2 linked regions of the Canis lupus familiaris genome follow. The protein of the gene in region 2 binds, or shares a complex with, the protein of the main gene of each other region. Links are inferred from orthologs where the notes say so. Each region holds a gene or a part of one and is shown on either strand. Other genes may lie near its edges.

Region 1 (4,599 bases), on a different chromosome or scaffold from region 2:
CTGCTCGAGGTCTGGGAGGAGGAGAGAGTGGCGGAGAGGGGACTGATTCTCCCCTGGATCGAGCCTGGAGCGGGGACTCGGAGGCAGGGAGGTGTCCCCGCGTGAGGGGTCCAGGCCAGAGGGAGGGGCAGAGACCCGAGCAGACGCTAACAACACGGCTGTCCAGGGAGGGACACATATGCTGGTCAGAAATGACCTTGGTGACCAGAGGAGGTGCCCCAGCCTCCCGAGCATCCTCGGCCTGGTGTGAGCGCTTGAGGGTGAGGTGGGGATGCTCAGGCCTCAGATGTCCCAGAGCAGAAGGGAGCGGAGGGTGGCAGCGTGGGGTAGATTGAGTGCAGGAGAGCAAGGGGAGGGAGGGAGGGAGGGAGGGAGGGAGGAGGCCAAGTGGCTGCGAGGGAGGCCTGTGGTCCCCGCCTCCCTGCAGCACCTGCCCCTCCTCGGGGGCTCACCGTCCACGCCAGTGGTGCATCTATCCATCCAAGCCAGAAAGCTAAAGATGCTCAGAAACAGGCCCTCCTCCCTGCTGCCGGGTTATGGAGAGTCCTGAGAACATGGTGCCTGGCTCTCTGGGATCCCATCTTCTCCCCTCTGTGCCTCCCCCCGTACACCACCTCCGTGACCACAGCTATTCCCCCGACTGCAGTCGGGATCCCTCCAGCCCACCCTCCACTCGGCAGCCAGAGCCTCCCTCCGAGCACCAGCCAGCCGTGTGCTCCTTCCAGCCCACTCACTCCTGGGCCTTTGCACACACTGTTCCCTCCATCAGGAACACTCTCCCCCCCCACCTCCACCTGCCCAACACCTACTCAACCCTCAACCTCCACCTGCCCAACACCTCACTCAAACACCATCTCTCTTGGGGAGCCATCCTAGGTGCCCTGAGTGATCGGGGTGCCCTGTGTGTGAGGGGGGGCTGCAGAATGTCTCCAAGCTCCCCTGCTGTGATTGCCTGGTGCACTGTAGTATCTTTGGTGTCTAACTCAGTGCTGGGTACACAGTAGACGATCAGGAAACAGCATTTGAATGAATGAGTGTCTGAGTGGATCTGCTCACCACTGGGACAGGTGTCAGCCCAGACGACCCAGGGCAGGGCGTGGACAGCAACTAGGTCTCTAATTCTCCACCTGAGGTTAATGACCCTAAGCAGAATCCCAGGAGCTCTCTGAACGCCTCCGTTCCAATCAGACAGGATCCCACAAATCCAAGCCAGCAGCTCTTTGGGGAGCGGAGAACAGGGCACAGACAGTGCCTGAGGAGCTGGAGGGCCCCCCCCCCCCCCCCCCCCCGGCAGCCCGGCCTCTTACCAGGAAATGTCTGTCCCCAAGAGCCCAGAGGGAAATGCAAAGTGGGGCCCTTCTAGGGAAGACTTGGGGCACCTGGTGGGACAGCAGCCTGATCCTTTGCCTTCTGGGTTTTCCCTTAGTGGGGGAAGGGATAAGGCATTTATTTGCTGGTTCTGCAGCTGGGCTCTGAGGCTTGCCCTATGATCAGGACATGTTCATCCTTGCTGGGTGCAGGTGAAGTGCAGTTAGGACGCCTGGGGGCATCTACTCCTTCACCCCCAGCAGCCGGGGATCCCCATCCAATCAACTGCAAGCCTGGCTTGCCTCCTCTTGAAAAGAGTTCTGGTTCTTGAAAAGCCTGCCCACGGGTGAGCCTTCCCCTCCCTCCTCCTCCATTCCCCCCCCCCACCGACCCCAAAGGAGCAGAGGGGTCGTGCCTCAGAGACCAGAGTGAGGGCCAAGCCCATAGGGCTGGCTGGCCTCGCGCGCCGAGTCTTCAGGCTGATGCGTCTGTAAATGGGAAGTTGTAAACTGGACGACGTGTAAGTGACAGGTTGGAGAGGAAAACCTCAGAGGGAGAAGTTAAATTCAGGCACTGAGCAACAAGTACTTGCACCTCCCCCTTGGAGAAGCAGAAGAGAAACCGGGGAAACTGCCCAGGCCCTGGGCGCACCCCGATGGCACCCCTCCCCAGGCCACCCCTTGACTTATTTTCTGTCCTCTGACGGCACCTCTCCTGGGTTTGAGCCCCCGCCCTTGCCATCCACCGGCTATGTGACCTCTCCGTGCCACACTTTTTCCATCTGTGAAGTGGGGATCGGAGCAGCTATCTCAAAGATTATAGTGAGTAGTAAACCAGCTAGTGATAGCAAAACCAAAAATCCCCAAATCAGAGCCATCGTCAACCCACAGCCCACACATGTGGCCCACAGCCCACAGGCTCTCTAGAATACACAGCCCTGGCCCCATACACGGCTCACTTTTATGGGTTATTCGTCCGGGAGTGAAGCAAAGCAGCTTCTCTTATTTCTTAAAATGAGTGTGAGGACAGGTGTTCGGACCCCAGCATCAGCTGCGAGGCCCCGGGTCCCCCTCGCAGGGCCTGAGGAATCTCATGTATAAAATGGAAACAGCATCACGTGTGTCCCCCCTGCTGCCCGCCAAGGTCTTCTAAAAGGCGTGCAGAGGGTGTTGGCAGGTGCCCAGGCAGAGCCTGCCTTCCCCACCAGGCCCTGGGCTCCCCTCTACTCTCGGGGCCCCTCTTGGGGACCCCGCAGGCCATCACTGCTGTCAGCTAGCCCAGGAAAGGAGCTGGGCAGAGGTGCACCCCCCCCCCCCCCCGGGAGCACCTGCTGTTCCTTGGGAGGAAGAAGTACCTCTCTCATCAGGGTCGCCCGGAGCCTGGGCCATCCCGGCGGCAGCGGCTGGAGGCCTGGAGCCGCGGCCCCTGCTCTGCCCGCGGCGTGGAGGGGATGGGCTGGTGCAGGCAGCGAGCCCTTGCCCGGCTGGACTCTGGCAGCTGTGAGAGGAGGCGGCAGCCGGTGGGTGTTTGCTGTTCACACTCTAGAAACAGGCCTCGTCAGCCTGACCTGACCAGCTTTCGGGAGAAACAGAAAACGAAACTCCTGTGCGTGGCCTCAGAGAGAAACAAAATTGAAAGCAGACTTGTTGAGCAAGGCCCCTGACTATGTGTTGGTAGGAAGGAGCATTCTCTGGACCCATGGGACTTCCCTGACCTTCTGGGTACCCACCGCTGCCCACCCTCACTCCCCACACAGGCTGAGATCCCCCGAGGGGTGGGGGTGCTGAGGCCTTGCAACCATTGTGTGTGTCAACATGACAGCTGCTTTTAGTGAGCACCTACTGTGTGCTTTCCGATCTTGAATGCCCCTCTGACTCTCCTACGAGGTCGGGGCTAGGACTTCTCTCGGTGGGGGGGAAACTGAGGCTTAGGTTGGTGCAGGCACTTGGCCAAAACTGGGTTCTAACTCAGCCCACAATTTGCTGGCTGCGTGACTTTGGGCAAGTTCTTTAACATGTCTGCGCCTCAGTTTCCTTATCTGTACAATGGTGCTAATAAAAGGAGCTATGTCAGGAGGTCCTGGAGAGGGCGGAGGGGGATAATCCAGTTGGACAGCCTGACCAGACCCTCCCCCAGCAAGTGCCAGCTCCAGCCGTGAGCACAGCGGGGCACCCACACACTTGGAAGAGGCACCTGCCCGGTCCACCTGGTCTCTAGGAGCCACGACCCCAGGGGGGTGGGGGGGGTGCTCAGAGCTGCCGTTCAGGAGGGGACACCGGGGCCCGCCGCGGTGGAAGGGCTTCGGGCCAGGCAGCCGTGAGGGTCCTGGACGCAGCCCTGCAACTCCCCGGGCTCGGGGTCCCAGGGCCTCGGAGGACTTTGCCCGCGCCCTTGGGCCAGGGGAGGGGCCGGCAGGTGTGGAGCAGTGTTTGCAGAGCAAGGGGGGCAGGTGTGCACCCAGTCCGCCGGGTCAGCACCCAGGCCGCTCACAGCCGAGCCCCTGAGGGGTCCCAGGTGGGGTCCCAGGTGGGGTCCCAGGTGAGGTCCCAGTGCATCCGCTCGCCAGGCCGCCGGGCCCACAGCTCGGGAGCAGCAGGAAACCACTTCGTTTCTCTTTCATATAAAGCTGAGAAAACGTGTTTCTCCCTGTGATATCAATTTTAAATGCGGGGTAACGGGGGTGGGGGTGGCTGCTGGGGAGACTGGGAGGCGCGCCGGGTGGGGTGGGCGGAGACCCCGCAGAGGCTGGGGGGCGCGAGCTGGGACTGGCTGCCAGGGGACACCACCGCTCACCGACTGGGCTGGGCCGCCTCTCTGAGGGAGGGGACCTCGCCCATCCCCGCCCTGCCCTCCCTCCTGACCTCTCTGACCCTGGTTCCTTGTCTCCTTCCCTGCTCGCTGCTGACCTCTTAGGGTTGGGGGGGATGAGGCCCTGGCTTTGACCCAGGTGCCAGGTAGGCTTGCAGCTCAGCCTGAGCTTAATCCCGAGGCGCAGATCCTTTCTGGAAGGACCAGCGGGCGGGCACCCTCATGGCAGGTGTCTGTCTGGACAGTTCTGGATGGCCCCTTTCTGCCCCCCTCACTCCCCAGTCCGCAGCTCCCCCCCCATCCTGAAGCCATCTGGGGCTTGTCCCCTGGCCTCGGAGCCCGCAGCAGGAACCACTAGCCGGGAAGGCCAAGGGCCCCTGGGAGGTGCCACCTGGACACGTGCTGCCTTGCCTTCCTCTTCAGGGCAGCCCTGCCCCTTCCCTAGCTCTGTGTCACCACCTCTCTGAGCCTCGGTTTCTTTAG
Region 2 (4,498 bases):
GCTGACAGCCCCATCACCACTTTGCCGCTGCCTCTCACCTTCCAGGCCATCTGATATTTTCAGGCCCTTGGACTTATTCTCCCCAAAGGAACAAGACATTGCTGAACTGTATGTGCCACTTTCTTGTATCAGATACTCTGCAAAGACAACAGGATGCAAAGGCATGAGAATGTGCAGGGCTCAGGGCCAGGGGTTGGGAGAAGGAAGAGAAGGGAAAAATCACCTCAGAAATTACAGAAGTTCAGGGATGCCTGGATGGCTCAGTGGTTGAGCATCTGCCTTTGGCTCAGGGCACGATGGGGGATCGAGTCCCACATCGGGCTCTCTGCTCTGCCTCTCTCTTTCTATGTCTCTCATGAATAAATAAATACAATCTTAAAACAAAAAATAAATTACAGAAGTTCAGAATGTTCTAGGCAATGACAGTCAATTACCATTAAGTAAGAGAATACTAATTATTTGCTATATATTTCCCAAATAGTACTTTTCAGAGTTCTTTGGCATGAGAACTTGTTTTCAGTATAAAGTCCTACACGAAATTCTTAGTTAGTAAAATAGATAAAAACTCTAGTTTACTGGTATAAATGTGGGTGTGATTATGATGTACAAAATTCACTTATAAAATTAATTAATAAAGAAGAATTATATTTGGCACAAAAATTTGAAAACAGGATTTGAAGGACAGTTAAAACTTTAGAAACTAATTTACTTCTGTTTTATTCTTTGGTTTCATGATGTGAAGAAAATCCTAACATACAGATAAGTAAGTGTAAATGGTGATTTTTTTTGAAAAAGATTTTATCTATTTATTCATGAGACACACACACAGAGAGAGAGAGAGAGAGAGAGAGAGGCAGAGACACAGGCAGAGGGAGAAGCAGGCTCCACTCAGAGCCCAACACGGGACTCGGTCCCAGGACTCGATCCCGGGACTCGATCCTGGGACTCCAGGACGACGCCCTGGGCCAAAGGCAGGCGCCAAACCGCCGAGCCACCCAGGGATCCCCTGATTTTTCTTTCTTAAACAGCTTGCTTGGAAGTTTCAGGATACAGTTTCATTAAATAGAAATGACAAAGGCTTAATTTCAAGGTCTGTGTAAAAGGAGTTTAAGCACAAATTATCACCCTGGTGGCCTCTAGAATTTCAAAATTTGGTGAATGACACATTTTAACAAATTTGTTGGAAACAAATTAGAAAAATTAATAAAATTTGAATTAAGTATTTTAAAAAAGATTTTATTTATTTATTCATGAGAGATGGAGAGAGAGAGAGGCAGAGACAGGCAGAGGGAGAAGCAGGCTCCATGTGGGGAACCCAACGTGGGACTTGATCCCAGGACTCCAGGATCATGCCCCGAGCTAAAGGCAGGTGTTAAACCGCTAAGCCACCAGAGATCCCCTTATATATTTGTTAACATTCTAAAGAATTCCTGAAATATCTTCTTCAGCTATAACTTGCAAACCCTACTCTAGTAAGGAAATGAAGCACCCATAATCAGCGCCTTAAATTTTAGTAGAAGAGGCTCTTATTAAATTGCTTCAGAGATATTTAAAACTCTTTAAAAAACTTTGCTGTTGCGAACACTTTACTTCCTAGGAAAAGGCAAGTTCCCCAAGCTGTCTCTAGAATTAATGAAAAGCGCTAAATATGCTAATAACCAGGTTTTAAAATATGAAAATTAACTTAAAAAATTCTACTCATCAAAAAAAAAAATTCTACTCATCAAATTACACTGGACTCAGATTATGGTTTAGTCCATCACTCTTCCAAAGAGTAGAGAACTTTTATGTTATTTAAACATTTCTACTTCTGAAAAACACATGGAAAATATTTCTAATGTGTCCTTAAAGTCTTTAAAAGTAGAAGAAATACTTAAACACTAGCCAATGTTTTTTAAGCCCATCATGTATTTGGTCCTCCCCAAAATCTTAAAAAAAAAAAAAGTCTTTAGAAGCAAAAATTCAATAGACCACATTCACTGATCACAGTGTGATGAAATAAGGAAGTTACAACAAAACAGGAATAGAAGAACAAGGAGGAGGAGAAGGAAGGAAAACAAGGAAAGAGAAAAGATAAAGGAAGGAAAAGAATTGAGAATTTTAGAATATCTTTGTGAAATGTGTCAGAGAAGAGCTCAAAACTGAAATTAGGTAGATTTCACTGTGAGGATGACTTGTTGACCCTGCTGATATGGGCAGTTAGCAAGCATTTTTTTTTCTCTTCTGAAGATACTGGTGGGTACATAGGAGTTAATCACAATGAAGTTAAGGACCCTCTAAGATCAGGCATCTAGTTCCTGCCTCTCCTGATTCTTTTTTTTCTCTTTTAAAGATTTATTTACCCATGAGAGACACAGAGAGCTGCCTCTCCTGATTCTGCCCTGCAGTCAGAATCTCAGCCTTTCTCCTCCTCATATTTATTTATTTATTTATTTATTTATTTATTTATTTATTTATTTATTTATTTTACCTTTTTTTTTTTTTTTTTTTTTTTTTAAAAGCCATTGGGAGCCTTAGCTATACTAACCCAGATCCAAAGACCTTAGTGGCAGAAAGGACTTGGTCAGTCAGTGTCACTGGAGTCATAGTAGACCTGGGACTCCTAAGCTTCAAGTCACAACATACTGGTCTAAACACAAATTCCCTCTTGCACCTTGTACCCCACCCCATGAACAGCCAGCAGTTGCATTGCGAAAGGAAGGGGCATGGGACCTGCTTACCTGGGCCAATCGCTTTGTCAAGCTCCTCTGCCAGGAGGTTCTGGTTGATGGCCCTCAGGACTTGCAGGGTCAGCCGCACGGCATTCTCTTCCCCGTAGTGGTTGATCATCAGATTGGCCAGCTTCACTGGCTTGGCATTCTGGACCTGGCCCCGGGGGATCCGGGAGTGATCCTTCTCCACGCTGGTGTTCTGCAGCTTAAACTTGAACTTCTCAAAGTCATTGGGCAGCAGCTCCTCCAGGGAGTCCAGCAGATGATCACTGGGGGTTTTGATCATGGTGTTGACCAGGAAAGGCTGGAGCCAGCAGTCTGAAACAGCCTCTGTCTTGGAACCCAGAGGGTGGGTAAAAAAGAAGCCACTTGTGAAATAGCGGAAAAGCACAGGAAATGCTCTCTGCACTCTGGCGAGAACTGAGCTATGAGTGTCATCGTTTGTTTGTTTCCAGTGATGACTCTTGTGTTCTCTTTCTCACAGATTTGGAGGCCTTCACAGCTAGGAGGGTTCAAGGCCTTGCCAGCCATGTGTTCCTATAGTGCCCCAGCCCTCACCTTCCCATACTGGCCTGTAGAGCAGTGCGTAAGTATGTGAGGGAGGGCCTGGGGCTGGATTCCAGGGTCTCGATCCTGGGAAGGCACTCAGATGCCTCTGTCTCTCCTTCTCCCGGGATATGGGTGTGGGGAGCAGGAACAAAGCCCCTGGTCCCATGCTGCAGAGGACCGTAATGAGAGTCAGTCTTTTTGACCAATCGTTTTCCTCCAGACTCAGGATTTTATGGACCCTCCAGAGCAAATGATGAGGGTTGCGGGGGGCAACAAGTGCAGCCCTGCAAGTTTTGCCCTTCTCTGCCCAAGAAGGAGGTGAAGCCGGAGGGCACTGCCAGGCCACCAGCCTTGGTGTCACCCCTATTGATGTCATTCCAGTTGTCTGGTGCTTTCAGCATCACAAAGGCCTCAAATGCTGTGTGTGGAACTGTCATCCTGATTTGTTTGTTCCCTACTCTGCCCTGGCTTCCCGAGAGCATCCCCATGAGGGAGGGTGCTTGTCCATGCACTTTTATTGAACAAGTTTTTTGTTTGTTTGTTTTTTGTGTTTAAAGTAAGCCCCATGCTCAGTGTGAGGCTTGAACTCAGAACCCCAAGAACAAGGGGTCACATGCTCTACTGACTGGCCAGCCAGGTGCCCCTGAACACATATTTTAGACGCCATGCCAGGATGCTGGAGAAACAAGGGTGAAAAAAGGAATAGGTGTCCTTTGGAGCTCATGTCCCAGTGTGGTCTCCAGAAGTTGCTCCAGAGCTAATGGAAGTGGTACGTGGGGTAAGTGGACTTCTTCCACAATTGACAGCTTCTGTCTTTCTGTATACCCTGATTTTTATCCCCGGCTTTTTTTGTTTTGAAAAAACACTACTTTTAGTTGCCACATCTCTATAGTCTGATTCTGCTAGAACACTTTCACACTTTCCAGCCTTTTAAAATTCTGTCAAGACAATGTATTTGAAAAGTCCATTCCAAGCAAAATGTCCCTTAATTAATTAAGATTTCCTCATTATTAGACTGAAGGTACTTTCAGGCATCCTCAAGATGTCTCCATTGTAAAAGGACATTTTTTTCTTTGTGACTAGTAAGTGACCTGAGCATGTGGAAATGTCTTGTTCTCCCACAATCTTTCACCTCATGATTTTAGCATTCATTGATAATCCTTTCCGATATCAATTGCTACAATGATACTTGAAAAATGGTGATATTTCTGGCACTTAGCTGGCATCACTTATGTGTC

The links.
Region 1: MEFV (region 2) and ZBP1 share a complex: the UniProt entries of both Homo sapiens proteins name them as parts of the AIM2 PANoptosome complex. The link is inferred for Canis lupus familiaris from reciprocal best matches to the Homo sapiens genes MEFV and ZBP1.

What each region holds. Positions count from the first base shown.
Region 1 is NC_049245.1:43,334,553-43,339,151, forward strand, and holds the start of ZBP1 (Z-DNA-binding protein 1), read right to left. Parts: upstream 2,911-4,599; 5' UTR 2,697-2,910; coding exon 2,636-2,696; intron 12-2,635; coding exon 1-11.
Region 2 is NC_049227.1:38,415,188-38,419,685, reverse strand, and holds the start of MEFV (pyrin), read right to left. Parts: upstream 3,080-4,498; 5' UTR 2,998-3,079; coding exon 2,721-2,997; intron 138-2,720; coding exon 1-137. UniProt on the Homo sapiens protein: Involved in the regulation of innate immunity and the inflammatory response in response to IFNG/IFN-gamma.